Callithrix jacchus: one gene and its partners. The main gene of each other region encodes a partner of the protein of the gene in region 2 in a complex. Links are inferred from orthologs where the notes say so. Each region holds a gene or a part of one and is shown on either strand. Other genes may lie near its edges. The genes, in order: MIOS, SEH1L, WDR59, NUP43 and NUP37.

The links.
Region 1: the proteins of SEH1L (region 2) and MIOS are in contact, whole or in part, in a cryo-EM structure (PDB 7UHY), measured with the Homo sapiens proteins. The link is inferred for Callithrix jacchus from reciprocal best matches to the Homo sapiens genes SEH1L and MIOS. Residues at the interface, in NP_112493.2 of Homo sapiens: Met1, Phe2, Val3, Ala4, Arg5, Ser6, Ile7, Ala9, His11, Lys12, Asp13, Leu14, Ile15, His16, Asp17, Val18, Phe20, Phe22, His23, Gly24, Arg25, Met27, Trp47, Ser173, Ser174, Ser175, Asn230, Leu231, Gly232, Arg233; in NP_001357005.1 of Homo sapiens: Arg279, Arg316, Ser317, Phe353, Glu354, Arg355, Ile356, Ser357, Leu358, Ala359, Trp360, Pro362, Leu366, Met367, Trp368, Ala369, Cys370, Gly371, Arg372, Leu374, Tyr375, Glu376, Cys377, Thr378, Glu379, Glu380, Glu387, Asp389, Ile390, Ala391.
Region 3: the proteins of SEH1L (region 2) and WDR59 are in contact, whole or in part, in a cryo-EM structure (PDB 7UHY), measured with the Homo sapiens proteins. The link is inferred for Callithrix jacchus from reciprocal best matches to the Homo sapiens genes SEH1L and WDR59. Residues at the interface, in NP_112493.2 of Homo sapiens: Asn308, Tyr309, Met310, Asn312, Lys314; in NP_085058.3 of Homo sapiens: Pro713, Asp714, Glu716, Thr717, Pro718, Arg721, Arg837, Glu840, Gln843, His844, Asn847.
Region 4: SEH1L (region 2) and NUP43 share a complex: the UniProt entries of both Homo sapiens proteins name them as parts of the nup107-160 subcomplex of the nuclear pore complex. The link is inferred for Callithrix jacchus from reciprocal best matches to the Homo sapiens genes SEH1L and NUP43.
Region 5: SEH1L (region 2) and NUP37 share a complex: the UniProt entries of both Homo sapiens proteins name them as parts of the nup107-160 subcomplex of the nuclear pore complex. The link is inferred for Callithrix jacchus from reciprocal best matches to the Homo sapiens genes SEH1L and NUP37.

What each region holds. Positions count from the first base shown.
Region 1 is NC_133512.1:51,174,969-51,181,811, forward strand, and holds the end of MIOS (GATOR2 complex protein MIOS), read right to left. Parts: intron 4,832-6,843; coding exon 4,702-4,831; intron 3,759-4,701; coding exon 3,662-3,758; 3' UTR 1,582-3,661; downstream 1-1,581. UniProt on the Homo sapiens protein: As a component of the GATOR2 complex, functions as an activator of the amino acid-sensing branch of the mTORC1 signaling pathway. The GATOR2 complex indirectly activates mTORC1 through the inhibition of the GATOR1 subcomplex.
Region 2 is NC_133514.1:49,489,163-49,495,441, forward strand, and holds the end of SEH1L (nucleoporin SEH1), read right to left. Parts: intron 4,995-6,279; coding exon 4,844-4,994; intron 3,819-4,843; coding exon of another isoform or gene 3,806-3,818; exon of another isoform or gene 2,235-3,805; coding exon 2,036-2,234; 3' UTR 1,560-2,035; downstream 1-1,559. UniProt on the Homo sapiens protein: Component of the Nup107-160 subcomplex of the nuclear pore complex (NPC). The Nup107-160 subcomplex is required for the assembly of a functional NPC.
Region 3 is NC_133521.1:32,273,777-32,279,940, reverse strand, and holds part of WDR59 (GATOR2 complex protein WDR59), read left to right. Parts: intron 1-1,988; coding exon 1,989-2,068; intron 2,069-4,021; coding exon 4,022-4,154; intron 4,155-4,286; coding exon 4,287-4,411; intron 4,412-6,164. UniProt on the Homo sapiens protein: As a component of the GATOR2 complex, functions as an activator of the amino acid-sensing branch of the mTORC1 signaling pathway. The GATOR2 complex indirectly activates mTORC1 through the inhibition of the GATOR1 subcomplex.
Region 4 is NC_133505.1:156,503,856-156,509,134, reverse strand, and holds the end of NUP43 (nucleoporin Nup43), read left to right. Parts: intron 1-1,401; coding exon 1,402-1,631; 3' UTR 1,632-3,630; downstream 3,631-5,279. UniProt on the Homo sapiens protein: Component of the Nup107-160 subcomplex of the nuclear pore complex (NPC). The Nup107-160 subcomplex is required for the assembly of a functional NPC.
Region 5 is NC_133510.1:105,154,981-105,161,144, reverse strand, and holds part of NUP37 (nucleoporin Nup37), read left to right. Parts: intron 1-2,455; coding exon 2,456-2,580; intron 2,581-6,164. UniProt on the Homo sapiens protein: Component of the Nup107-160 subcomplex of the nuclear pore complex (NPC). The Nup107-160 subcomplex is required for the assembly of a functional NPC.

The DNA of each region.
Region 1 (6,843 bases), on a different chromosome or scaffold from region 2:
AATTAAAAGTACAGATTAGGAAGCCAAGACTACTAGAATCTTAAGTCTTGGCTATATTTGCTACTCATGTAACCTAGGACAAGTGACCTGATGTCTATGCCTGAGTTGCCTCATTTACAGAATGGAGACAAAAATGGTATACCCGCCTCATAGGTTTATTGTGAAAACAGGATAATGTATTTGGCAAACAGGCATTAACAGTAATTATAATTCTCCTTACTATACTAATGCATTTGATACCAACTTTACTTGTGATTTTATCATTAAATTTGTGTTGATATCTGGGTTGTTAGCTTTTAAAAATGTTGGGAAGCTTTCCTTCAGTACTCTGGGAAAAGTAGTATTTTATAAAAATTAGTATATTTGTAAAGTGCTGCTTGTTATAATCAGCAAAGTAACCTACAACATTTTCAGGTAGGAGAGAAAACTGGAAAAGGATGGGAGTGAGTAGAGGATAAGGGAGGTGCTATCTAGTAAGCTGTTTCTGTCATTGTGATGTGGGTCACTAGACTTGATACAAGATGCTGACCTAACACCAGATATGCCTCTCCTATCTCTCTGATGCCTATTTAAGCAGATGTTAGAAATGTGTGCCCACTAGCTTTAATTATGGCCATTCTGGGAGAGCAAGTCTCACAGTATACTTTTGATTATCACTACCACCCCACCATTTTAACTGAAATGAACAGCAAGTCTAACAGAATGCCAGAAAAGGAAGAAGTACACGGAATAATCCTGGATACTGTCTCCAAGTATCCAGATTAGGGAGTTAAATTTAAACCTAGTTTAGAGTTGAGAACAGATATAAAAACTCCAAGTTTTCAATAATCAATTGTTAAATTTGCCATAACTTTTTCTTCTCGGTTCATTTTTATACCACATTTAACTCCTAAGAGGTCATTTGGAGTATTTTTGCATACAGCAAAATAGTAATACTCCAAATTTATCCAAATAATGGCATTTTTCTTTTGAGATAGGATTTAGCTACTTTTGTTTACCCTATATTTGCAGCATTACTATTACGGGAAATTTTCATTTTTGAGACAAATGTAGGTTCTTTGTTAAAAGTATACTGTATTCACTGAAAAAGTACTGCTACAGGAGTAACCTATGAAAATTAAGGTAGCAATGACTGCTAATCACTGCCATTTATAGAGCACTGTGTGACAAGGATATGGTAAGTCATGTTTATTGCATCACCTAATGTCCCCACACTTTATAAGGTAGGTATTTCTGCATCTTTCTTTTAACATATAAAGAAACTGAAGCTCAAAAAGGTCAAGTCACTTACCAAAGATCCTGAGGCTAGGATTATGAGTTTCAAAGACCATTCCTTTACTATTCGCAGTCAAATGAATGACTGAAATTCAGTCATCCAATTAAATGCAGAACTACATTCTTTTAAATACTGTGTGAAGCACTGATAATGGGAAGCTATTTTTAAAATATACCTTTGTAAAGGATGATAACCATTCTGGAAAGTGGGTTAAACTGAAAAACAGAGCCTAAAAGGAATGTTACTTTAAGTATAAAGTCTGTCATCCAAATAAGTACCAATATAATATAACTTCATGTGGATTATTTGTAAAGGAATCATAATTTCTTTATTAGATACAATGATTTCAACCCAGATTTATTGAATCTTTTCAAAATAATAAAAATACTTTTATTAAACACTTCTATTGATCATGTTTAGGTAAAATACCTTGTTGAGTTTATAAACCCAAATACCAGTGACTTTGCGACAAAAATGAGAAAATAATTTGAATCTACCTTCATTGTCCACACACACTGAAATGCAAAATGCACACCAGAGACATAAACTGCATGTTTGGGCTTCACAGAAAACAATACGAGGTTGACACACACAATCTTAAAAATGTCACCCTTATATATCAGGATTACAAATAAGCATATTACATAATAGACTTTACATTCATGTTTTATACTGTATTTCCAAAACTTGTAACTATTTCAGCTAAATTCAATAATTTTATATTTAACTTTAGCTAATGAGAAATAAAATTTACTATGTAAGAGTTCGACATTACTTAAAGCTGACTTTCATATTTAGGACACAATAAATTTGAAAGGAACACTTCAAAGGAAATATTAAAGGTAGAGGATATGTGTTAATAAAATGAAATCAATTAAAATTTACTGAAAGCCTGGAAAAAGTACCCTTAATAGCCATCTTTAAAAAAATTTGCATTTCCCATTTCTTTCATTTGAAAAGACTGTCATGTAGATGAGACATTTAGAGTAGATATACATTACTTCCAATGTTTTCCTAGAAAAGGGTTTTATGTATCAGATACTCAAGGTAAAAAATTTAATCTACTTTTAATATTTAGGTTATACCTCAAACTAATCTGATAGATCTTAGTTTTTATAAGGCAAAACTGCTAATATGAAAGCTCTTAAAATTCTTCAGTTTATTTCTCCAAAATCTAAAAAATAAAATTAGATTTACTCTTTATGAACAGAGCTTCAACTACAAGCTTCCTAGTTCAGTCCCTCTGCATATGGCAGATGACAGAGAAGCATCCTGTAAACCCTTGGTATTTCTCTTACAACTTTCTATAGCTATGAAATCGGAAAAAGTAAATTTTAAATAAAGTCCCTCCAGTAACATGTACATTTAAAAACTTACATCTAACGTGGACTCTGAAGTGACTGTATTTCCCCAACATCTCCTAGTCTACCTTGGAAAGAACAAAGAATGTTATTCCTAGTCAGGAGGAAATCTGACAGTACAGAAACACTGACATAGATTATGCTAAATGGTTAGTTACATATAATCTTGCATAGACTTTGTATTCAGTAAAATATTCTCAGATGATGAGGGTAAGATGACAAATTAATATGGAGAAAAACCTTTGAAGACAAATTAAGACACTGGAAAGCAAAAGGTAGAAAGTGAAAATTTTATATGTTCACCTGAAATGGTACATGTTTTTCTCTTCTGAAGAGAAAAAGTTGTAAGATAGATTCTTCATCTTGGCTTTTCTAGGAAGACAATGTGTATGCCAAAAGATTGCTTATCTTAAAATAAAAACATATGAAAGAAAAGTCTCCTTTGAAAAAATATATATATTTACACATACACACACACATGCATACATATATATATAACATATATTAATAAAAAGTATTCTCCAGTATGGGATAGGGACTCTCTAATTCTAAAAGTAAAAATCTATAATTTTAAATTTATCTGAAAGAAATCTAAGCACAGCTTAACTTAAGATTATTGTCTGAATCACTGAATTAGTCATTTTATTTTAAAAGTGCACGGATTTTATTGAAAGATATCCAACTTCAGCTTTGAAGATCAGGCTCAAGGTTTGTTCTTGGCTATTCCAGAAATTCTTGTAGAATGTTCATAATTTCAACAAAAACTTACAAAGTTTTTCTAAAGTAGACTTTTCAAGCTACTGAACAGAATTCACGTCTATACTCTGAAGTTTATTTCAGCAGCATTTGTCTCTGTGAAGCACATCAAAATCACTCACACATCAAATTGCTGATCTGAGAGAATGATTTATTTTCCCATTACAGGGAAGTCATGAATGACTTGTTCTGAGGTATGTTTCTGAGCTATGAAGGACACCTATTACAAAGCTCCACACTTGAAGGTTTCTCTTAAGGTGATAACATTTTATGGCTGGATAGTCTCTGCAGGTACCAGATTCCCTGTTGTATCCAACTGCATACATTTACACGTGCATGCAGACACAGGGCACTCTGTGTGGTCCCTAAAAAAATACATCAAATAACAGTTAAAAATCCAAATTAAACATATACACATTTATTTATCTAAAAAAATTTTTTTTTAAAGAGACAGCATCTTGCTATATTGCCCAGGCTGGACTCACACAGCTGGACTCACACTCCTGGGCTCAAGCAATGCTCCTGCCTCAACCTACTGATTAGCTGTGACTATAGGGGTGTACACTGTTCCCACCTGTTTACTTAGATCTATCTATAATGCAACTTTTCAAAATGGCATTTGTAAAAATATAGAAACTAAAACCCAGAGGAAAAAAGCATCAAATTATAAATGACTGCCAAGCTGAACTTTAGGGAGAAGTTAAAAAAAAATACATACCTTTTATTTTCTACATATATGGCAAGATATTTCATTTACAGTTGTGAAGGTGACAGGGATGTGCTCAGAGTTTAAATTAGCTAGTGAGACAAACTGGGTATAAATGCTATATCAATGAGGAGCACAGGGCCACTGGCACCATTCAAAATAAAATTCAATTATGGTCTTGAGAGTTTCAATTGCATGACTACATAAAAAGCTTACTGAGAAGAGAACTGAGGCAGCAATATGATATGCACTTTTATAATTTCATTATTAATTCAATCACATGATAAATTACAACATATTCAGTTGTAAAAAACTTTAAACACATCCTCTCCCCGAATAAAGTGAAATAATGTTATTCAAACATTTAACTCATGCAAAATATTTGAACTAGTTCTTATATAAGTATTACCTTTATAGTTTAAGGTTACATAGGATATCTAACAATGAAATAAATGTTCATACCACCTTTGTTAATGCAAGTGACTGTAAAAACAAAATTCATACTTTGGCTAAATGTTAACAGATAAACCCAAACTATTTAGAAGCAATCTGTGTTATCTCTTGTAAATCCAAGCCTATCAAAGAAGAAATGTGCTGATTACCTGAACCAACTAAGCATATGTCCAGCATGCCCACCATGCCTGCAATTGTGACACCATGTAAACCAGTTGTTAAACTGGGCTAGTTTTTTGTCCTTACTTAAGTCCACTTTTTCATCTGATTTGGTTCCTCCTATGAGACAAGAAAATTATCTTCATTAACTGCATCACGATATTTTATTTAAAGTTACTTTCAAAAGGCATTTCTAAAACTATGTTCAAAATATGAATCACACATCATATTGAAATAACAATTTTGATGCTAGGTTCTAGTTTAGATGGAGTGAAACTGAATGACAGGAGCTTCCCTACATTTTTAATAGCCAATACAAAAATGGAAAAATTTAAATTATTGAAACCCACTGAGAAACAATATAAATTTAACACTTTGGGGGAGACCAAATCAGTAGTTAAAATCTTTCCACAGGAAAATACTAGGCCCAGTTTACAAGTGAATTTTACCTAACATTCAAGGCACAGGTAAAACTGGGCATGGTAGCTCATGCCTGTAATCCCAGCACTTTGGGAGGCTAAGGTGGGCAGACTACTTGAGGCTAGGAGTTGGAGACCAGCCTGGCCAATATGGCAAAACCCCATCTCTGCTAAAAATACAAAAATTAGCCAGGGGTGGTGACACATGCCTGTAGTCCCAGTTTCTTGGGAGGCTGAGGCACAAAAATTGCCTAAACCTAGGAGTTGGAGGCTGCAGTGAGCCGAGAGAGTGCTGCTGCACTCCAGGTTGGGTGACAGAGCAAGACTGTCTCAAAAAAAGAAGAAAGACAATCAAGGGGCAGGTAATTCTCATCTGTACAAGCCCTTTCAAAGAAGGAAAAAAGAGGAAAAGTTTCCCAATGCACTTCATGAGACTTGAGTAACTTAAGCAATTGCTTAATTAGACTTAATATTTTTACTTAATTGCCATCTATTAAGGCATTATGCATAGATGACTATGTTCAAAATTTTGCTTGGATCATTGCAGGTCACACTTTCGGGATCAAAAGGATAATCCTACAGTCAGGAATAGTTTTAAAAAATATCTGTTTTTGCTAATAATATGGGGTGAAAGGATGTATAAGTAGTTCAATGATTTAAGATGTAAATACACTAAATTTATTCCTGAAAGGGTCACCAAAGGTTAATAATGAGAGGGCAAAATGGAAAGGGGGAAGAGAAAAATAAAATACAGATCTGATATGGACACTACTTGATACCTTTGTGTAAAGCTCTTGTTAGCGCTTGTCATTTTGTTTTTGTAACTTCTAACATAAACAGAAAACAGACTGAATCCAAACAAGTGTATCCTTATATTTTTCTGATAAAGCTGGAAGTATTAAGATCTACCTCACTGCCAAGTATAAAGGCTTTTTTAAGGTCAAATGACTTTAAATTTTAAAAGATCCATAGTGAATTATGAAGACAAGTACCACAGAACACTTTAGGGGAAACTAGTTTCACTTGTGTATTAACTCATAATCTGAGAAGAAAATGAAGGAAACCAGTATATAATCTAACTTTTAAAAAATGTGTCATTGTCCAAAAATTAAGTTCTGTAAGGGCAGGGATTTTTGTTTTGTTTACTGTAACATTTCTAGCACTTGGAACACTAGGTACCAAATAAAATTTTTTAATAAATAATATTTATAATGTTTATAATGATGTTAGAACTGTTTTGAGTTCTAATCTTCAAAGCACAATTGAGTATAAAAATATCAAGCCTCAGTTAAATAAACTTACAGAAATTCCAGCTATTTGAATCACAAAGCATAATGGATGGATGTAATCTCTGACTGCAGGCAAAGCACCAGGGAGGTTTAGATACTCAAGCCATTAGCCAGCACTTGATTTCTATTAGATACTTTTATTTTGGAACTAGGACTCGTTTGATTTCACATATTAAAAAAAACCAAACAAACAAACCATATATATATATATATGCTTCCTTAACTTTTACTTTAGTTTCAGGGGTACATGTGCAGGTTTGTTATACAGGTAAACTGCGTATCATGGGGGTTTTGGTGTACGAACTGTCATCCAGGTAATAAACACAGTACCTGATAGGTAGTTTTTTTAATTTCAATCCTCCTCCAACCCTCCACCCTCCGGTAAGCCCTGGTGTCTGTTGTTCCTTCTTTATGACCATATGCA
Region 2 (6,279 bases):
TGCAGACTATCTTTTTTTTTTTTTTTTAACATACCCAAGTGTTTAGCACAGTATCTTGCACATCCTAGATGCTCAAGATTCACTAAATTGGAGAATGGTCTAAATTTCATTATTCCATTCTAACCCCAGATACCTCTATGATTGAAAGCTCAAAGACACGGCTTCTTAATTAAGACCTTGTTTGATCCTTGCCTTGTTTAAGAAAAGAAAGACCTTTGAGAATTATTTTAAAAAGTCATTCACATTGAAATGCTAACCTTAGAGACAAAACATTTTGATGACTAGACAATAAAACTCAAATGTTCCTTAAACTAAAATGAGTAGGCTAGGTGAGGTGGCTCACGCCTGTAATCCCAGCACTTTGGGAGGCGGAGAAGGGGGATGATGGAGTAAGCCTAGAGTTTGAGACTAGCCTGGGGAAAAAGTGAGACCCCTTGCTACAAAAAATAAAAATATTAGTCAGGGCATGGTGGTGTGCACCTGTAGTCCCAGCTACTCAGGAGACTGAGGTGAAAGGAGCACTTGAGCCTGGGAGTTCAAGGCTGCAGTGAGTCATGATCATGCCACTACACTCCAACCTCAGCTACAGAGTGAGACCCTGTCTTATAAAATGAATAGAATATTTCTATCATCTCTTAATCCTTTGCATATTAAGAAGTTCTAGGGATATGACACTATTCAAGGAAAGGCGTCTTTGAAAATTAGAATACTTGGCCAGGCGCAGTGGCTCAAGCCTGTAATCCCAGCACTTTGGGAGGCCGAGGCGGGTGGATCACGAGGTCCAGAGATCGAGACCATCCTGGTCAAAATGGTGAAACCCCATCTCTACTAAAGATACAAAAAATTAGCTGGGCATGGTGGCGCGTGCCTATAATCCCAGCTACTCAGGAGGCTGAGGCAGGAGAATTGCCTGAACCCAGGAGGCGGATGTTGCGGTGAGCCAAGATTGCGCCATTGCACTCCAGCCTGGGTAACAAGAGCGAAACTCCATCTCAAAGAAAAAGAAAATTAGAATACATACAACAATTGTGTTACCTTTGTGATTACCTGATAAGACACATGAAATACTGTTCAAAACACCTGTCTCTCTCTAGCCCTGATAGGTTAAACCCTTGATAATTCCTCAGAAAACTGAACCAAAATGCCTATTACTAGTTTTAACCATTTTGCCCCAATTACTGTCAAGTATATTCTAATTTTAAAATATTTTAGAAAAAAATCTTTTCTAACGTTGACTAGATTGAAAGTCAACATCTGTCCATTCTATATGTTAGTCTACCTACTTTCTACCTTTTAAATAAATGTAATATTTGCTCACATCTCCTAATTTTTATTTGTTTGGGTTTTTTGTGAGATTATGAAAGAAGAGTAAGCCTTAGCAACTATCTTAAATAAAATATATCCTATTTTTATAAGGCAAGAGATTCATGTATTTAAAAATATATTTTATTATATAACCTACCCGGATAATTACAAAAGCTTTAAACAGTAATTCTAAGCAGTGAAAGGCAATTTCCTTTAAAAAAAAAAAAAAAAAAGACCAAAAAGTCCACATTAGGTTTTGCAGCTTTATACACAGGAATGCTTTATTTTATTTTACATACTCGTCAGTTGCAACATTAGCCTATAAAATTAAATCCATTTCTTAAGGTCTCAAAGGCAGAATAAACTTCACAATAATATGCTTTCACATTAGCCAGTCTGATAAAGCATAAGCAACTTAAGACTATGGTAACAGTTCAAAATAAAATTACAGAACAGGCACTTTGAAGTCTGCTTCTGTGTATAATTTCACAGATAACATTATTTGGACATACCTCATTTCATCAAAGGTTATCACCCAGAGAAGCAAATGTTCCGTTGCTGCAGACGCACAAACAGATTTAGGTTCTGAACACTGTATTCTGGTAGTAATACATGCAAGACAGACCCTAAGTTAGAAAAATCTTCTGAAAGAAAATGAAGAAAAATAGCAGCCAGAAATGAAAGCATTTACAAGCACTTGAATAAGGCCTTTCAATGTTAAGTCAGTGTTTTAAACCCCTTCATTCTCAGGTAAGGGATTAAGAGGCCGAGAGAGATATCGTCTGCGAGGGTGAGGATACTGGAGGTTGGCAGTGTCAGCATCGCAAGAGTGCTCTACCAGAGGAGGAAGAGGAGGAGGAGGAAGGAGCTGGATAGAACTGGACCATCTCGATCCAGCCCGTGGGGAATCCAGAGGGGGAAAGAAATACCTGAAACAATTAAGACAGGAACAAACACCAAACAAAACAAAAACAACAGGAAAAAAAAAAAAAAAAACAAGAAAAAGAGAAAAGTAGTAAATACAAAGAGAACCAAAGAGGAGAAAACATGCTAGGAAAAAAAAAAAAGCACAAATCAAGACCCTTACTCAAACCAAGATTGCTTAAGCAAGTATAAAAACTTGAAAGAAATACAATCTGTTAAACTTAAAATGTCAAAAAAAATCAATATAAACGTTACAAAGAAAAACATTAATTTTATAAATTCAAAACATTTTCTAATCTCTCAGAAACATCTGATGCTATTCTGTTCATTTACAAATCTAATAAGCTTTTTATTTTAAGCAATGGTTCACTCACAGCAGCAGCAAGCACACTCTTTTTTTAGTGCATACATGATACTGGGAATACAAAGAGTATGGCTGTCTACTGCAACATGCTTTTGAAGAATTATATTGAACATACTTATTTTTCTGCAAAACCCTTAGAATAGCTACCGAATTTTGACAAGTAAAAGGATTCACAGAATGACTGTTCCCTATTGTTAATCTTGTTCCATCTTGTAACTTACCAGTAATACTTATGCATTTTAGCAAACTTAAATATTTATAGCTTTGTTATCAAGGTCACAGCTTTACAGGATATGAACTAATTTAAACAGCCAACTAAATTAAGAAAATCTTGAGACATGGAATGCTGACATTCATTTACATGCACAATTTTAGTAAAATTTTAATGGCTTCTCTTATAGTACGTGTCCAAATTTTGATGTGAAGGAAACTAAGCCATGAAATAAATAACACCATAAGAACATATAAATGTATATTAGCAACATTTATCTCTTTAGTGAATATCAATTAAAAACTTAACAAAAAGGTGTTTCCATCTTACTACCAAATTATAAATGAAACACCACCAAATGCTTAACCTGGCTACAAACTGTACAGTTAAGTTACTTTCTTTTTACTATTACTACTTTACTAATTCACTCCTTTACTAATATTTTTTAAATATTACAAAGAAATGACAGAGTTGTACTGAATATCATGTATAAAGCAATTCTACAAAAAGTAAACAAATCAGCACTCAAAACAATCTTTATGAAAAATATTTATTCAATCTTCAAATTAAAATTAGAAGAGTTCATTTTAAGCTGTTTTAAGAAAGCAAAAGAAATATGTCTGTATTTTCCCAAAAAATTAAAGTGATATTTCCCCTCTTCTCAACTAGTTACATAAGAAGGTTAACAACCCTTTTAATCTTTAAACCCAAGTTAGTTTGAGGAACATTTCAAAAAATTGTTTTGGTGACAATGTCTCAACAGAAAGCCTCTCCATTTATATTTCAAAAGTTTCAAATAGTGTCAACAAACTGACTAGTACAAAAAAATATACACCGTATTTTTAAAGGCCTTTTGGGTTGCGTTTAGTAGTAAGCAGGCTGCTGGTGTATCTTGGGAGAGGTCAAAATGGCGCTGGGGAAGGGGAAAAGGAGCTCGCTTTCCATTCCTGTGTGCATGCAACAAGCAGCAAAACAGCAAAGTTACTCCAGTTAGCTTGTACTCAGCTGTGCTTTCTGTTAAAGGACATAATACAAATGGAAAGGGAAAATGCATCACAGATCTAACACAGATGGTTATTGGCACAATTAAGAATACAGATCAAAACGTCGAAGCTATTTACAAAAGAAAATACATAGTACAAGCAGTGACCAAAAACCAGACTTTAAAAATCAACTCTAATATTACTTGTTTCATGAAATAATCTTTATAATCTGGTATCTTCCACAGTAACCTGAAATTATTTTGATGCTCATATTTACAACCTCAAAAATCAAAAGCAGGAATTCTTTATAAAAATATAACAATATAAAAATAGTTGAAATTTTAAATACAATTTTCTTCTTTTATTTAGGATATCCATTAGGCTGTGTTTTGAAGCTTCCTGATTTCTATTCCAAATTTATTCACAAAGGCCTATTAAAATAGTTTTATCTTACAAATTCACATATTTAAAATTTGAACATGAAAATAAAAGGATGACTCTTTAGATGACATCAGATATTCCTTATTACGATACACAAGAATCTAACATATGCTAACATTTTAAAAATCAATCTCAGATTTTATTATTTCCTCTTATTTCCAATAAGTTTTAAACACAAAAACCAAATAATTTAATGTACTCTCTTCTAAAAAGCCTTAATTAATGTATTTATTTAAAATTTCAGTTTGACCTGATACAAAGACCACACTACAAGCACTAAAAAACACTAACGTTCATTTGGACTAAAACCCTCACTATTAAACCAGATAACCTCTTCCTCTCACTGCTGCAGAAGCAGCGTTGAATCTTAAACCTATAAACATTTCTACCAATACATCACTAAAGCTTCAGAATATAATGTAATAGCCTCATAACCTACCAGCAAATATTCTGACCAAGTAAGCCAAATACAAAATGAATTCTTAAATGCTAATATAGTTTACATGTGAACATTTACACTCCATCTTATAATCCATAAAATAATCCTCCTTAAGTATGGCTACCAGAATGATTTAAAACAAAGATAATTTCCAGTTTTCCCATTAAACAGCCTACCTGCCAGCAGAAGATCCATTTAATGAATTCTGAAGACTTGGAATATTTGAACCTAGGGAAGGATTTGAGTTTCCCTGCTGAGAACTCCCATTGACTGGGCTCCCATTACCTTTCAAAATACCAGTACACTTCCAATTGTCCATATAATTAGCTGAAAAGAAAATAATCAAATACATTAATGTGATTAATACCAATGCCTAAGGGCACAAATCTGTACCTATGTCCTTAAACTATAATTACAGAAACGAGAGAAGCTATGGGCTATGGCATTTCTTTCAGGATTAACATTAAAGACACTTTTTAAATGAAAGACATATTATCTCCGTTTTAACAATTTTTTAGAAGTTTTCAAAGTATCACCAATTTTAAAAATATAAAGCTTTCACCAGCCATCTTATAGATATTAGCAGAGACAATTCTCTGAAGTACTACATTATCACATTATGAAGTTCATATTAAAACCTTCATTATAATATTAAAGTCTTCATTATAATGAATTTCACATATATATATATGTAAGATAATTAAGTTGTCTTCTTAATTATGCAGGTATATGGGTACCTAATGTCTTCTGAAATGGATGTAACAAAACTTTTGGAACTTGAGTGGCTTATCCAAAATGGCCTTATTAGTTTGAATGCAAAATTGGTCCCTGAAGACAATGAACCAAAGAAAATCAAGTTAGGCAGCCTGCCAAGGAGTATGGCAAGGTGGTCCTGACTAAAGCCTAGAGGCAGAAAATGACAGCAATGCCCTTGAAATCAAACTACAGTGAAGAAAGGAACGTCTGGCTGGTTCTACCAAAGCCCAAAACTTAGCCAGACTGCACTCTGGGAAACAATACCTGCTAGAGGGTAAATAAACTAAGACAGCTATAAATTTGAATGCTAAGTATGAGATACCACTCATAATGGTGGTACACAAATCACAGCCATCTCTGCCCAACGGATAACCATCCAAGGAGAAGTGCAGAACCAAGCTACAGAGACCACAGTCAGTGTCAATTGACCAGACCTTCTCTCTCAGCCTGGCACTTGTAAGAAACTTACAATCAGGAGCCCGTGGCTCTTAACTTTTGGGAGCTGGAGAGATGAAGCAGGGAAGATACTGGATTTTCTCCTATTCAGAACTGATTGTCTAAAGCAATTTATTTGATAAAATAAGAGTGACTATAGCCCTAACTGAGTTTGTAGAGCAGTCACGTAAGGTACATATACGACAAATGGTATCTTTTTATTGGAGATAATGCATATTCTGTTGTAATTAGTTTTAAAAGTTGCTCTGTTCCATATAACTTAAAAAACAATTCAGTCATTAATTGCTATGAACTAGGTAAACTGATGGTCAAAATAATATGAATTAATATGACATCAATTTACAAGTAACTGTAAAAGACCATTTTTTTTTTTTTTTTTTTTTTGGAGACAGAGTTTCAC
Region 3 (6,164 bases), on a different chromosome or scaffold from region 2:
CAAGTAGCGCTTCCACCTCAGCCCCCTGAGTCGCTGGGACTACCCGAGTGTGCCACCATGCTGGGCTGATTTTTTGTACTTTTTTGTAGAGATGGGTTTTGCCATGTTGCCCAGGCTGGTAGTCATCTGTTTTTATTGGACCACTTCATGATTTGATTTTCACTGTGGGGAAGGATTTCTTAAAGAGTTAGGAAGAGACTTAGGATGTTGCGGCCAGGGGAAAAGGATGCCTCCTGGGGGCGGGCGGTAATCCTTTTTCTCAGGTGTTGCTGACAGATGAAAATATAGATTAAGAGAAATGCATTTAACTGACCAAATAGGAAGCCATATGATCATTAAGAAAGGAGTTTCAGGCCTGGTGTGGTGGCTCATGGCTGTAATCCCAGCACTGTGGGAGGCCGAGGCAGGTTGATTATGTGAGGCAGGAGTTTGAGACCAGCCTGGCCAACATGGTGAAACTCCATCTCTACACACACACACACACACACACACACACACACGTAAAATTAGCCGGGTGTGGTGGTGCGTGCCTGTAATGTCAGCCACTCAGGAGGCTGAGGCAGGATTATTGCCCGAACCAGGAGGTGGAGCTTGTTGCAGTGAGCTGAGACCCTGTCACTGCACTCCACTCCAGCCTGGGTGACAAAGACCCTGTCTCAGAATTTAAAAAAAGGAGTTCGAAAAGTGAGTTGAGGAGAGAAGCCAGGTCATTAGGTGGCATAAACAGGGGCAGCAGGAACCAGTTTAGTGAATTAAGTTACCCTCAAAGTCAAGACACAGAATTAGCCAGTTGGCAGAGGCTGCTGCCCTCTCTGTTGGAAGGCAGGGAGAAGACACTGGGAGTTGGGGAAGCAAAGGGCCCCTTGGGACCAGCAGGGGAGGCACAGGTTGAGGGGTTGAGTTAATTTATAATATTTAGAAAGGAATTAGGCATACCTTTTTCTTAAAGTCAGGGGCATGAAAAGAGGCCAGATGTAGGGTCAGAAGATTGTTGATGTGAACGTGGGGCATGATGGTGCCACATGTGACAAGCTATGGTTTAGGATAGTTGCTCTCTGGCTAGCTGTACCTAGTGATATATGAAGTATTGAGGAGTGAATTTTTGGTTGGAGTTGGTGATGCAGAGATATAACCGATAAGGAAGAGAACTGGCCCTCATTTTTTGCCCTCTCACTCTGTGACCTTGGACAGATCATATTATCTTGCCTCGGTTTCCCCATCCATAAAATTAAGAAGTTGGATGAAATTATTTCTGAATTCTTCGCTTTCTGAAGGTGGCCATGAAGGAGATTCTAGATACTACATAATTGCCCCCAAATGTTCTGACTTTCATGAAGTTATTTCATAAAGCACCCTGAACCTTCTCAGGATAATTTCCCTTTGGCCAGAATTAAAATGAAAATGTGATTCAGTCAATTAAGAATATTAAGGATTGATGATTTATTTTACAAAGAGATGCATCACTTTACCAAAAAATTCTTTGGAATGGTAAGATGCTATGATGCATTTGAAACAATCCATTTTGCAAAAATGTGTTCATCTTCAGCTCCTCAAGAGCATGTAAAAGGAAGAACATTTGCAGAGGTGAAAGTTTAGTGTGACATTAAATCCCAGCATTGCTCTTTACCTGCTAATTTGCCAGTTATTATTTCACTTAATTTAAGTTTCTGCTCAAATGTGACTTCCTTGGGGAGTTCTAGCTAAAAATAGTTCCACTGTCAGTCTCTGTCCTCTTATCTTGTGTTATTTTTATATCAGTTATCCTTACCAGATGTTTTATATTTGTTTGTCTGTTTTTACCATTGGAACGCAAGATCTGTAAAGATAGACACTAATTTATCCATGCTGTAGTCCTGGTACCTAGAATAGTGCCTGGCATATCAGAGATGTTGTTGAATGGATGGATGAATCTCACTCCATTTCAACCTATAGCAAAGTGGATATTGAATCCAGAAGAATTTCCAGGATTCTTATTTGGTGATTTCTAGGGTCCAAGGACTATCAACTGGTGACGTGGTCCCGGGATCAGACCTTGAGAATGTGGCGGGTGGATTCCCAGATGCAGAGGGTATGTATTCAGTGCTATTGTGGAGAAATGTACCTGGATCCACCAAGAAGTGTAAGATTCAGGATTTGTGGAAATTAGAGATTACAGGATAAACTTTTTTTTTTTTTGAGGCTGAGTTTCACTCAATCTCCCAGGCTGGAGTGCAGTGGTGAGATCTCGGCTCACTGCAACCTCCACCTCCTAGATTCAAGCGATTCTTGTGCCTCAGCCTCCCAAGAAGCTGGGATTACAGGCCTGCCCACCACCATACTTGGCTAATTTTTGTATTTCTAGTAGAAACAGGGTTTCATCATGTTGGCCAGGCCAGTCTCGAACTCCTGATCTCCAGTGATCCGCCTGCCTTGGCCTCCTAAAGTGCTGATATCACTGATGTGAGCCACTGTGCCTGGCAAGATAGACATTTAATACATACTTACTGGTTGGCTGAGTGGCTGGTGTGTGCCACACCAAGGCTTTGAGGTCTTTAAGAACCAACCTTAGTATTCAGCTCTTTAAGGCAGGGTCTAAATGTCTTTTTCCCCCTTATTCTAATACAAAATAGTATGAGTAGCTTCCTGAGCCTGTGGCTTGTGGGGTTCATTTCTTTCTTTTCTAAATGTGCTAAGAAATCTACCCTTGCCGGTTGTAGTGGCTCACGCCTTTAATCCCAGAGGCCGAGGTGGTCGGATCACAAGGTCAGGAGTTGAAGACCAGCCTGACCAACATGGTGAAACCCTGTCTCTACTAAAAATAAAAAAAAATTAGTTGGGCATGGTGGCATACCCCTGTAATCCCAGCTACTCAGGAGGCTGAGGCAGGAGAATCACTTGAAGCCAGGAAGCAGAGGTTGCAGTGAGCTGAGATCTCGCCATTGCACTCTAGCCTGGGTGACAGAGTGAGACTCCATCTCAAAAAAGAAAAAAAAAAAAGCCTACCCTTGCACTCTGCAAATGCTTAGAGGCCTCTACATCCGTCAACAGCACCACTTCTATGAAGCTGTTTATAATTTTTTCCCAATAAATGATATCTGTTTCTTACATGAACCACAGTAGGGCCTGCCTGATCTGAGCTGCTTTTATGACCCTTGCTCTGCTCTGCCTTATCACAGGGCTCTGTCTGCTCCCCATCTGATGGCTACATTTCTTGACAGTGGGAAGGTATCTCACTTGTATTGCAGCTCCCACAGCACTTGGGACACTGCGTTGCACAGAATGAATAGAAAATACTGGATAAAAATGCCAACACTGCTTAGTGTGAAGTCACTCTTGAGTATTTTGGTCAAATCTCATTACCTTATTGCATTTTCAATCTGTTTTCTCTGAAAGGTACAATTTGCACCAAATGCCTTGAGATTATGATTTTCTTTTTTTTTTTGAGATGGACTCTTTCTCTGTTGCCCAGGCTGGAGTGCAGCCACATGATCTTGGCTTACTGCAACCTCTGCCTCCTGGCTTCAAGTGATTCTCCTGCCACAGCCTCCTGAGTAGGTGGGATTACAGGCGTCTGCCACCATGCCTGGCTAATTTGTGTATTTTTAGTAGAGATAGGGTTTCACCATGTTGGTCAGGCTGGTCTCAAACTCCTGACCTAAGGTGATCTGCACTCCTCAGCCTCCCAAAGTGCCTGGATTATAGGCATGAGCCACCATGCCCGGCCGGTTATGATATTTTTGCTCCTGGATTAGCTGAATAACTCCATCAAGGCTTGGAGTTAAAAGTAATTTTTTTTTTTTTTTTCCTGAGGCTTGCATAAACTCTGAACATGATGAAAAATTTCCAGGGCTGAATAATAGGGTCTATTATCCTGGGTGTTTAAGCAGGGAGAGCTGGTGATGGGTAAAATCTATTTTGATTATGTCAGCTCTTGGCTGACACATCTCCATCCTTTGTCATTCCCATTTTTAACTCTTTAATCAGACATGATGATCTTTTCCACTGACTTCTCTAGAAATACATCTTCCCCACTTTGTTGCAGCTTTGTGCAAATGACATATTAGATGGTGTCGATGAGTTCATTGAGAGCATTTCTCTTCTGCCGGAACCCGAGAAGACCCTGCACGCTGAAGATATAGATCACCAGCACAATGCAAGCCACGGGGAGGAAGAAGGTAATTTGTGAAACTGGCTTCTCAGGTGAGGTGCCACGTTATGCATTGCAGAGATGTGGCAGATACCCCAGACCTGTTCCCTGATTCATTTTCAAAAATGCTTTCCAACATTGAACTTCTCTCTCCTGCTAGCCCTAAAGGAAGATCCCCCTAGCAATCTCCTGGAAGAGAGGAAATCAGATCAATTGGGACTGCCTCAGACCTTGCAGCAGGAATTCTCCCTGATCAATGTGCAAATCCGGAATGTCAATGTGGAGGTACTTAGTTTAATCAACAGTGTCTCATGTTTGCAGATGGCGGTTTGGGGAGGGAACCATTTCAGCAACGATTTCAGTTAGCAAACAGCTTTGCAGCTTTAACAGAACTCTCTCTGCTTGCTTTTTTATTTCCTGAGTTTTCTGGCCAGGTGTGATGGCTCACACCTGAAATCCCAGCACTTTGGGAGGTCCAGGTGGGTGGATCACTTGAAGCCAGGAAGCCAGGAGTTCGAGACCACCCTGGCCAACATGGTGAAACCCCCATCTCTGCTAAAAACACACACACACACACACACACACAGAATTAGCCAGGTGTGGTGGTGGGTGTGGTTCCAATTGCTCAGGAGGCTGAGGCACAGGAATCACTTGAACCTGAGAAGCAGAGGTTGCACTGAGCCAAGATCACACCACTGCCCTCTAGCTTAGGTGACAGCAAGACTCTGTCTCAAAAAAAAAAAAAGAAAAGAAAAAGGAATGCAGACTTTCTTCTTAATCCTTTTCTTTTCTCCTAAGATCAGCCAAAGGAGAACCTGGTGCTCATGTGTCTTAGCTCCTCCTTAGATGCTTCAACATCGCATTTTACTATAAAGGAAGACACTAAAACCTGGGAGGCTTAGTGTTTTGGCAGGAGTTGCTGCTGAGGTTATGGGCAGAGTTGACTTGGGCAGCCAGCCCTCCAGCCCCTCCAGGGTGCTGTGCTGTGCCGTGCCGTGCCGTGTTCCCTCACAGGCTGTGGGATTTAGATTCATAGTAAGAAGGCAACCAAAACCTCTTTATACACTTAGCCTGTGGAACATTTACTCTTCCTTTGGGGCAAGTACCGAAACTCTTTGCTTCAGAAAATTGAATATCTCTCCAGGAAGGAGTTTTAAAGCTTGATTAGTTTTTCCTTCACCCAAATATAGTGAATAGCAGGAAGGGGTATGTGCTGTTACATAACTATCTCATGGGGCCTTTAAAACAAGTCTGCTGTGAGTGCTTTTAGCCTCACTTTACAGCTGAGAAAACTGAGACATCAAGAGAAGAAATGACTTGTCTGAGGTCAGCAGCTATTTGGTGGAAGAAATAAAGTGTGCATCCAAGTCTCCAGGTTTCCCACGTGTGTGGTTCTTTTCACTTTACTCCAGCTGCTGTCTTTAGATGGCAACACAAATCAAAAGATAGAAAGCATTCTTTGCTGAATTAGTGATCTATATCAAGTCAGTTTATGCTCCCTTTGTCCTGTTTGAGGACAGTGTGGATACCTAGTGATCTAGTTTAAGATCTCGAGTCTTTTTTTTCCCTTTTTTGAGATGGAGTTTCACTCTTGTTGCCCAGTTTAGAGTGCAATGGCAGGATCTTGGCTCACTGTAACCTCTGCCTCCTGGGTTCAAGCAGTTCTCCTGCCTCAGCCTCCTGAGTAGCTGGGACTACAGGCATGCACCACCATGCCTGGCTAATTTTGTAGCTTTAGTAGAGATGGGGTTTCTCCATGTTGGTCAGTCAGCCTGGTCTTGAACTCCCAACCTCAGGTGATCCGCCCACCTTGACTTCCAAAGTGCTGGGATTATAGGTGTGAGCCTCCACGCCTGGCCTTGATTCCTTTCTTTGAGAGTGCTTTTAAAAAATCATTGATATATAATTCACGTACTATAAAATTCACCTTTTTTTTTTTTGAGTCTTGTTCTTTCCACCCAGGCTGGAGTGCAGTGGTGCGATCATGACTCACTACAACCTCTGCCTCCTGGGTTCAAGCAATTCTTCTGCCTCAGCC
Region 4 (5,279 bases), on a different chromosome or scaffold from region 2:
AAAAAATGTTAAAACTTCTCTAGTAAAATTCTGGAGGGGAGAGCATGTGTGGAACATGCATGCATGTCTATGCTAACTTCATCTATGGAGAAATGAACAGTTTCATCTAAGAATTGACTAAGTATATACTTAGTTTTTGATTTCCTTCCTACACTAACCACAGTCTTGAACTTGCAAGTTTACTTTTAAGGAACCTTGGTTAGACTGGAAATAAAACTTTATCCTGTGTCTACTATTGCAAGGCACAGTATATGAGACACTGTGAAAAGGTAAAACAAATATGAAATATGAGACCTGCTCTTAAGACATAGTCATGGACAGAGGCATGGAAAGTTCAATTAGGATATAAGAATTGTTACAAAGTAATGCTGAGGGTTCAAGGAAAGAAAAGAAAAACATGAACTAGAGGTTGTCTTCAAAGTTTTCTTAGAGAAGGAAGTTGAGCCATATTTTAAAGGGTTAGCAAGATTTTAAATGTACTGATCTTTAAGCTTTAAGACATAGGGACTTTGCACAGAGCCTGACACATAGTAGGTACTCAGTCATTTGCTGAGTGAATTAAATTTGTACTTATTTGGTATGACAGCAAGTTGAAAGGAAAGTTATAAGTAATGCCTAAAATGGAAGTATACTGCTTCTGCCTGCGTCACTTTTACTCTTTATTAAGTGCAATGCTGTGTTAGAGATAAAAGCTTATAATCTAGTAGTGTTACTCACTTTTAAGAACATTTATCTAAAAAGCATAAAAAAAGATCCGAGGTAAGGCAATTATATTTTTAGAAACGTAGTAACAAATATATATTTAGAAATATATATTTTTTTTTTTTTGAGATGGGGTTTCTCCATGTTGGCCAGGCTGGTCTCGAACTCCTGACCTCAGGCAATCCACTCGCCTTGGCCTCCCAAAGTGCTGGGATTACAGGTGTGAGCCACCATGCCTGGCCTAGAAATATAAATCTAGAAATATTCAACTAGAAATGTGTCTAGAAATTCTTTCTCATGATCATTTATTACCCAAGAGTTTATATTTCCGTATATTACCTACATTTTTGGTTTCTTTTTTTTTTTCTTTCTTTATTCAACTTGTCTGCTGGCCATTTTGCTACCTTTCTGAGACTTTCCAATAAAAGATTAACAGAAAGACAGAGTCAGTTGAAATTATCTGCTTTGCCTGAAGACTTCATGTTTGGTATCCATATTATCTCATGGAAATTTGAATATTTAATATCACTGAATAAGCCTTTGGTCAAAAATGGTTTTGTATAATAATGGAATTATTAACCTGTTATTCTGAGAATTAAACATATTGAGATTATCACCTGTCTAAATTCAGTAGAAGTTTGCATGTTTACTAATATAAAAACCACCTTAAATTTTTTTTCTTTTCTTGTTTTCTTTCAGGAGGAAGAACCAGTACATTTTTGTCTCATAGCATTAGTAACCAAGCTAATGTTCACCAATCTGTCATTAGTTCCTGGCTCAGCACGGATCCTGCAAAAGACCGAATTGAAATCACAAGCTTACTTCCCAGTAGGACTCTGTCTGTGAACAGTTTGGATGTTTTAGGTCCTTGTCTTGTTTGTGGAACCGATGCAGAAGCAATTTATGTTACTAGACATCTTTTTTCGTAGAAGTACTGTAATTTTAAGATTTCAGGTAGAACACACAATTAGCCTTTTGAAATCCAACATCTGTGCAAACTTTTATTATCAGAAAATATGAGATTTGCAGGGGAAACATCAATAAACTGCCATTAATGTCAATGCCCAGTTTTGGCTTTTGTTAGCCTGACACTCCCACAACAGTTGTAGAATCCGTTGGATGACAGAGGGCAAAAGATTGTGAACATGTGCAAGAAAATCAGTGGGATCCTGGTGCTGATGAATAGGTTGCCTTCAGAGTATTATTGACAGCTCATGGGACTAGTTCTTTGTTTTAGATGTGGCAATTAACACAACATCAGTGGTGGTTATGGGAACCACCAATGGGTTCCTACAATGTTTATCAGTAGTATGTGGAGTATACGCCTCCTAGTGGCAATTGTCAATGTTAACAATTATTCTTTTTATTGCAAGTATTTCCTATGATCCTTCCACACTTTATTTCCTTAATAATTATAGTAAATGTTTTCAGAAAGAATTGAGTAGAGCAAAAATAACAAAGATGTATAGCCATGTTCGAATTTTTTTTTGAGACAGATTTTTTTTTGAGACAGTCTTACTCTGTTGCCAGGCTGGAATGCAGTGGTGCGATCTTGGCTCACTGCAGCCTCCACCTCCCGGGTTCAAGCAATTCTCCTGCCTCAGCCTGCTGAGTAGCTGGAACTACAGGGGTGCGCCACCACACCTAGCTAATTTTTGTGTTTTTTAGTAGACATGGGGTTTCACCATGTCAGCCAGGATGGTCTCCATGTCTCGACCTCATGATCTGCTTGCCTCAACCTCCCAAAGTGCTGGGATTACAGGTGTGAGCCACTGTACCTATCCTGAAATTTTTTAAAGATGAAAATGTTTTGACAAGTTCCTTTTTCAGAATAGGTTTTTGAGCAGAAGTCTTTCAACTCCTTAGACCCAACTTTATTTCTGTTGAAAAGGGAACAAACACAACATTTTTCCTAAGGAATTTAGCTTTTGTTTAGCTTCACGGCATAGTTGAAAATTGCCAAACTGGACATCGTGTGATAAAGTAGAATTTCATATTGATAAGCAAATTGACTTCCAAACTAAAATTCAATGCTTAACAAGTGTGATTAATCAAATGATAATATAATCAGAGTGAAGAATTGTGCCATTTTTTTCTTTTTTTTTTTAACCTTTGTCCCCACCCCCCACCCCCCACCAGAATTTTGCCATTTTAATCCTTTTGTTTTAGCCACCTATAGTCTTATCAGCCATCTTTATTCTTGTCTGCAGAGATAATAATGACCTAATGTAGTGTTTTAAGATACTTTAATGATACTATCTTTCCAAAATTTGTTAGATATTAAATGTGTTATTGACCTGAGACCTTAATGATAAATCAGTACTATTAGACAATTGAAGTGTTTATTTACTTTATAATTCCAATAATCATAATTATGGAATTATGATAAGGTTTTGCTTTTCTGTCCTAATAAATATTTTCTTTTTCTTTTTTTGAGACAGAGTTTCGCTCTTATTGCTGGAGTGATGATCTCAGCTCACTGCGACCTCTGTCTCCCAGGTTCAAACAATTCTCCTGCCTCAGCCTCTCCAGTAGCTGGGATTACAGGTGTGCGCCACCAGACCTGGCTAATTTTTAATTAGTAGTAGAGAAGGGGTTTCACCATGTTGGCCAGGGCTGGTCTGGAACTCCTGACCATAGGTTATCAGCCCACCTCAGCCTCCGAAAGTGCTGGGATTATAGGTGTGAGCCACCACACCCTGCCTATTTTCAATTTTTTTAATGCCACTTTATCTCAGGGGGTTTTGGGTTTCTGATCTGTCTATAGTATTATTGCTGGGACTAATTTTTTAAAGACTTTTTGTTACTAAATAACTTACAGAAAAGAAAGTTTTAAGTACTTAGAATTTCAAACAGACAATACTCTTCATATCCGTTTCTATCCATCAATGTATATAATTTCTTAATAAAATGAAATATACATATATATATTATCTTTGTGGATGCATGTTCCCTAGCAGTAAACACATTTTTTCTATTATCATTTTGAACTGCTAGTTAATATTCTAAGCTGTAGGAGTGTGTACCATAATTTATTTCAATTGGTTGCCTATTATTGATTATTTCATGTTTCCAGCCTTTCACCGTTATGATTCCCACTATAATACCGGTTTGGTTTAATTTGCATTTCTTTTAAAACTTGCTTTTATTCTTAGCTTATATCCTCTTCATTTTTTGAGGTAGTTTGGCATTTTCTTATTTGTAACATCTTTTTATATGTGGTTTTTTTTTGTTTGTTTTTTTGCCTTTGGTTGTATGATACAGGTATTTTTTTAATTTAGTTTTTAGCTTTACTTATGGGGCTTTTTTTTAATCTTTATTCTGTTAATTTTTTTTTTTTTTTTTCCTTGAGATAGAGTCTCACTCCCATCGCCCAGGCTGGAGTGCAGTGGCATGATCATGGTTCGCTGCAGCCTGACCTTCTGGGCTCAGATGATCCTCCCATCTTAACATCCTGAATAGCTGGGACTAGAGGTGTGTACCACCATGCCTAATTTCTGTACTTTTAGTAGAGATGGGGTTTCATAATTGCCCAGGCTACTTAGGGTGCTTTTCATAGAATTTGCATTTCGTGTGTGGTCAAATCAGTTGGTTTCTTAGTTTTTTATTTTTGTTTTTTGAGACAGAGTTTTGCCCTGTCACCCAGGCTGACGTGCAATGGCATGATCTTAGCTCACTGCAACTTCCACCTCCCTGGTTCAAGCAATTCTCCTGCCTCGGCCTCCCAAGTAGCCGGGATTACAGGCATGTGCCACCGTGCTCAACTAATTATATATATATATATATATATATATATATATTTTTTTTTTTTTTTTGAGACGGAGTTTCGCTCTTGTTACCCAGGCTGGAGTGTAATGGCATGATCTCGGCTCACCGCAACCTCTGCCTCCTGGGTTCAAGCAATTCTCCTGCCTCAGCTTCCCGAGTAGCTGGGACTACAGGTACGCACCACCATGCCCTGCTAATTTTTTTGTATTTTTAGTAGAGACAGGGTTTCACCATGTTGACCAGTATGGTCTCGATCTCTTGACCTTGTGATCCACCCGCCTTGGCCTCCCAAAATGCTGGGATTATAGGCGTGAGCCACCGCGCCTGGCCCAATTTTTTATATTTTTAGTATAGATGGGGTTTCACTGTGTTGGCTAGCCTGGTCTCAAACTCCTGACCTTAGGTGATCCACCCACCTTGGCCTCCCAAAATGCTAGGATTCCAGAGGTGAGCCACCACACCTGGCCAAATCATTTGATTTCTTTCTTAATACTTTTTGTCCCCTGGCATCATGTTATCCTGTCCTAGAGTTATGTAAATGTTAATCTGTAATTCATTTTATTTTGTGGTTTTTATATTTTGCATGTAATGATTGCATTTGGAATTTAATGATTTAATGCATCTGAAGTTTTCTTCTTTTCACACAAGTAGATATTATGTGCTTCCTGATGTCATACAAAAGGAGTAAATAACACCACATAGGAAATTTCCTGCCCAAAAGGAACTACTTGTTTTTCATTTTGTAGCATTCCAGGAGTAAGTAAAAACATACACTTGTTCAGCTCAGGGTAGGTTTTTTCCTAGCACTG
Region 5 (6,164 bases), on a different chromosome or scaffold from region 2:
ATAAACTCTTTTTATCAGATGCTCTCCTAGGGATTCAAGCATTAGGGGAAAGAATTGAACTAGAGAAACTTCACAGTCTTGACTAACTGAAATTCTGCATTTGTACTTAAATGGGTGTGGTAGGAGGGCCAGCCAGTTTCAAACCCTTATAATAACCCTTCCATCAACCTGGCTTTGCCCCGACCTCAAATATGCTGCAGGCTTGTATAATCATTTGTAATACAGTAAGTTTTCCAAAGTTTCTTAATTTCCTGCCTGTACCATTCCTGCTTATACCCAAACTAAATCCAAAATAACATTTGCCTCTGCCTATACCATACACACACCCTGGCCTTTTAGTTGGCTCAGTGCAAACAGTACTGCCAGGAAAAGAAGTTTCACTGGTAACATAAAAAACTCAAGCTATATCATACCTGGGACTTCTTTATCCCCATGACCATCCAGTAGTTCCATATGTAATTTGGGTAACAAATTATAGGACCTGATTGTCAACAATATTGTTTCAGTAGTAAGATGATGTGTATTTTCATATAAAAACTTCATTTTTAAGAGACTGATTTGTCAAGTTGGGAAGAATAGATATAACCCAAACTATGAAGTCAGCTATGATTAGGCTCCTAAACTTATTTTGGAGCTGTATAACACACAAATTACGAATTATAAAAGTTGACAGTGTTTTTCTTTCCTTGATAAGTGTATTTCTATTATTTCATTTATAGAAAACCTTTTCATGTTAACTCTAACTTCACCTGAAATTTAAAGTTATTTTCAAAGGGTATTTGAATTATGTAGAGAAAGATGAGTAATATATTTGTAAAATGACTTTACTAGGATCCCAAAGGCTATCCTAGAAAAATCAGCATATCCACTTGGATTTCATTCGAGTATACATTATAAAACTTTGCATTTAGATTCTGGGTGAATGGAATTCTTAGATCAGGCCTTCAAGTAATTCCTATCAATATAGACATACGTATTTCATTAAATACCAAGTTTCACCTGCTGTATTTTTTTTCCTGATATTTTAAATCTTGTACACTTTATAAAAAAAGAAAAACCTGTGGTTAATACACAAGATTCCTTGGACAAATTTGTCATGAAAATTTTGCTTTAGTCTCTAGACCCAGTTCAGATATTGATTTAAATAACAATGATGATTTACTTATTTTTAAAATTACAAAAATTTTTATGATTTTTTTTTCTTTTTTACCTTTCCTATTGTGCTGGGCAGTATTTTAATGCATAGAAAATATACATTATTCATAAAGGCATAAAGAATAATAAGATGGTTCCCTATATAACTGCTACCTAGTTTAAGAAATGGAACATTAGCAATTCTTTTGAGGCCCCCTCAGTATCCTTCCCTTACTCATGGTAGGTATTTTGCATGGCAGGGTTTTCTGTTTGTCTTTTTTTTTCCCTGCTTCCCCCTTAAGGGCCCTGGATCTATACTGAGATCTGTCATCTGGCATCCTTCCTTGTGCAGGCACTAGGATTTGTCTCCTCTCTCTTGCAAACTGAAACTTTAAATCATTGCATGTGGGCAGATGCCCTTATAACAGCTGCATTCCTTGGTACTCATTTGCTTGTTTGTATTTGGATTTTTGCAATGTTGTAATGGAAGAGCTTTTCATGTTTTTGTCCCCATTTACAGCGCTAGATGCCTTGACTTTTAAAGTTGATTTTTTTTTTACCTTCCCGTGAGAATAAACTGAAATCATTTTTGTAGAGCTGAACTAGATAAATAAGCCAAGTTTATTAAGCATTTATTCCCAGAATAAAATATCTAAAACTAAATTAACCAGATTATTTCTTACATATTCACTATTCATAGACTATAATAGTCCAGATGAATTATTTGTAGCATCTTACACACGTATAATGCCAGAAGTAATACTACATGGAAATCATTGACACTGATTATAAAGACTTAGAGGCATCATAAGGTCCCAAAGTATTTTCCATTTAATCAGAATGTTCAGTATATATTTTTAATATTGTCAGTAGATAATCCAGTTCTGGTAATTTATTTACTAGAATATTTTGATTCTTTAGAGCATTCCATTTTCTTTGTTTTCTTTTTTTATAATGTAGAGACATGGTCTCACTATGTTGCCCAGGCTGGTCTCAAGCTCCTGAGCTTAAGCAGTCCTTCCACCTCAGTCCCCCAAAATATTGAGATTATAGATGTGAGTCACCACACCCCAACAAGCAATCCATTTTCATTGAATTTATTATGAAATGCCTCATAAGATAAAGTAGGACATGTTTATCATTTATTTCTAATTGCCTTAGAGAGTTATTTTGTGAGGCTAAGGTAAGTTTGGATTTTTTTAATTCAGTGAACTAATTCTCAAAATTTTTCAAAAGCATACACATAGCCTCCTGATAAATTCATTTTAATGAAATAATACTGTTTGTTTTCATAACTTACTAAAATCTTTACTGTGCTTAGGAAGAAGAAGCAGACGTTCAAGGCATTCAGTATAAAACACTTCGAACATTTCACCATGGAGTCAGGGTTGACGGTATAGCTTGGAGCCCAGAGACTAGACTTGATTCATTGCCTCCAATAATCAAGTAAGTTTAACAGCACCAAATGCATTCTTTACTAATGTATTTTGATTGTGTTACATGATCTGAAGTCTGATTATAGATACTTTTTTCTCCATTTCCATTTTCCACAACCCAAGATACTAGGTATTTTTATATTTGCTATTACTTAATAATTTAGGCTTATCATCTGAATTTGTGATTTAAATATACAGCCATGACTATGATAACTTGACCATGTGTTTGAGCCAAACTACACAGCTTTTTACATGGGCTTCATCTGAATCAAGGTTTTTACAGAGTCTTCACTAATTCACAACTTTATTGAAACTACAACTCTTTTAATAAAAGACATTAATGAGCAGTTGAGACATTAATGAGCCTTCCTTACCCCACATAGACTAAGATCACATTTTCATGTCTCACAATATGTAAATCTGTAATTCTGGGCTTTGGACTTCAGTTTTTGTGAAAGTGTTTAAAAAGAATGATGGTTTTCCGAGAAAAAAGTCCTGGCAATGCCTGCTGAAGTCTTCTTTACAGGGGCAAGAATATGTTACATTATTTAAGATTTGTTACAAAACACTAGCCTTGTCTCCACAAATGTCAAATCTAAAAGATGTGTCTTCTTTTAGTAAGAGATACTTAGCAACTAAAAGTTATCAACTATTATGCTGATAGTTGATCCTTTAATTTTTTTAATTAAAGAATAATTTAGATACTCTGAAATTCTCAGTATTAACGGTACAATTTGATCAGTATTGACAAATGCATACGTTTGTATAACCCACACTCTATTCATGCACAGTGTTTTTGTCCCCCAAGAAAGTTACTTCATATTCCCTTCCAGTTAATCACTGTACCCCATTCCCTACAGAAGCAACTGTTGATCTGGATTCTATTACCAGAAATCAGTTTTGCCTATTCTAGAACTTCATATGAGTGGAATCATACAGAATTTTTTTTGTGTCTGGCTCAGTGTTTTTGAATTTTTTCCACATTGTTATGTATACCAGTGCATTTTAAGTAGTACTCCATTGCAGTGTATCAATAGATGATAGTCTGTTTATTCATTCTTCTATCAATGGGTACCAATACGGTTTCCAGTGTTTAGTTATTATTTTTTGCTGAATACTGCTTTTAGTGGTTATATGGTTTAATTTATCTTAGGAGTAGAATTGTTGAGTCACAGGGTAGATGTATGTTTAACATTTTAAGAAAGTCCCAGTTTCTAAAGTGGTTCTGCCATTTCATATGTTCACCAGTCATCTACGGGTGGTCTCCCTACTCTCCAACACTCATTGATTCATTTTGAGACAAGTTCTAGCTCTATCACCCAAGCTACAGTACAGTGACACCATCTCCACTCACTGCAATCTCTACCTCCCAGGCTCAAGCCATCTTCCCACCTCAGCCTCCTGAGTAGCTGGGACTATAGGCATACATCACCATGCCTGGCTAATTTTTGGATTTTTTTGTAGAGACAGGGATTTGCCATGTTGCCCAGGCTGGTCTCAAACTCCTGAGCTCAGGCAATCCATCTCCCTCGGCCTCCCAAAGTTCTGGGATGATAGGCGTGAGCCACCATACCTGGCCTATACCCCAACATTTATTATTGTCTATCTTTTTATTTTCTTTTTCTTTTTCTTTTCTTTTCTTTCTTTTTTTTTTTTTTTTTTTTTTTTCTGATACAGAATCACACTCTATTACTCAGGCTGCCATCCAGACCCATGATTATGACTCACTGCAGCCTCAACCTCCCTTGTCTCAGCCTCAACCCTGCCTCTCACCTCAGCCTCCCAAGTAGCTGGAACTACAGGCATGCGCTGCCACTCCCAGCTAATTTTTGTATTTTTTGCAGTGATGGGGTTTCACTGTGTTACCCAGTCTGGTCTCGAGCACCTGGGCTTGAGCAGTTCACGCATCTTCTTGACCTCCCAAAGTGTTAGGATTACAGGTGTGAGCCACTGTGGTTAGCGTTTCTTTTTAGTTTTAGCCATTCTGGTTGATGCTGCAATGACATTTCCATGATGACTAATGATGTTGATGCTTTTTTGGTGTATTTGTTTCTTCTATTAGAAATCTTTGTGTGATTTTTTTTTTCAGGTTGCATGTTTTTTCCTAAAGCCTTTACCAATATTTAGTTAACTTAATTTTGAATAATCTAACAATAGCTTTTGTCAGCATATGTAATAATATCATTACCAAAGCTGGTGTGCTGTTCATTTCCTTTTATGTTAAAAGAAACTGGTCACAATATCCAGACCCAAATAAGAGCAAAGTCTCTTTGATTCTTTAAATTTTGAAAGCTGTGGAAACAGTCGTCTTCCCTTGGTTTTGAGTTAAGTTTTGTGATACATTCTTTAACCTGGATATTCAACTCTTGTGTTCTGTGCTCTCCTTGTTGCTTAATACTTGTTTATCTATCCTCTTTTTAGTGAATTCGCTGTGTTTGATCATTTCTGGTGGGTGTTTTTGTTTAGTTTGTTTTTCTTAGTTTTCGGTAAACTGTCTCAAGTCCTTTTTGGAATTATACAAATAACAATAACAAATTTAAAAGACATTAGCAAGACATTAATTTTAGACTATTTTTAGAGCAAGCTGACAGCACAATCTTGTTTTCAAATAAATTATTATTATAAAAATGATAAATGCTTAATAGATAAAATTTAGAAAACAGAAAATAAAAAGGATAAGAATGCCATTTATGCTCCCAATACTCTTTCCATTTTTTATACATAGTTGTACATAATTGTGATTATACTTAGTAACTCTCTATACTTTTTTTAACTTTACTTTTTTAGTAATATTCTAAAATAGTAGTCCATCACCATGACTAAGGTATAACTCAGCATCTCTCTTACCATCGTTAGTTTTTATCTTACATTTAGAAACCCTTCATGATGGCTTATGATTAGCATGTAGTTGCCTTAAATTCTCTTTCTCTCTGCCTTTCTGCTCTTTCTGTCCTTACTTGCTTTTCTTGCACAGTGGCTAGAGGATTCATTATTTATCTTATTTCAGCTCTCTGAGGTTTTCTGGTTCAATTAAAGGACCTAAATATCCCTACAACAGCAAGGATTCAAAGAAAAGTGGGGCAACACAAGGCTGGCTATAAAGTTTTGTGGGTTGGTTTGTTTGGTTTTATTTAAATCCTATTAAGAGTATTAATTATCCAAAAGAGAGCCCGCATAGCCAAGTCAATTCTAAGCAAAAAGAACACAGCAGGGGGCATCACACTACCGGATTTCAAACTATACTACAAGGCTACAGTAATCAAAACAGCATGGTACTGGTACCAAAACAGAGATATAGACCAATGGAACAAAACAGAGGCACCAGAGGCAACACAACATATCTACAACTATACAATCTTTGATAAACCTGACAAAAACAAGCAATGGGGAAAGGATTCCCTGTTTAACAAATGGTGTTGGGAAAACTGGCTAGCCATGTGCAGAAAGCAGAAACTGGACCCCTTCCTGACACCTTACACTAAAATTAACTCCAGATGGATTAAAGACTTAAACATAACACCTGGCATGATAAAAACCCTAGAAGGAAATCTAGGCAAAACTACCAGGACGTAGGAGTAGGCAAGGACTTCATGA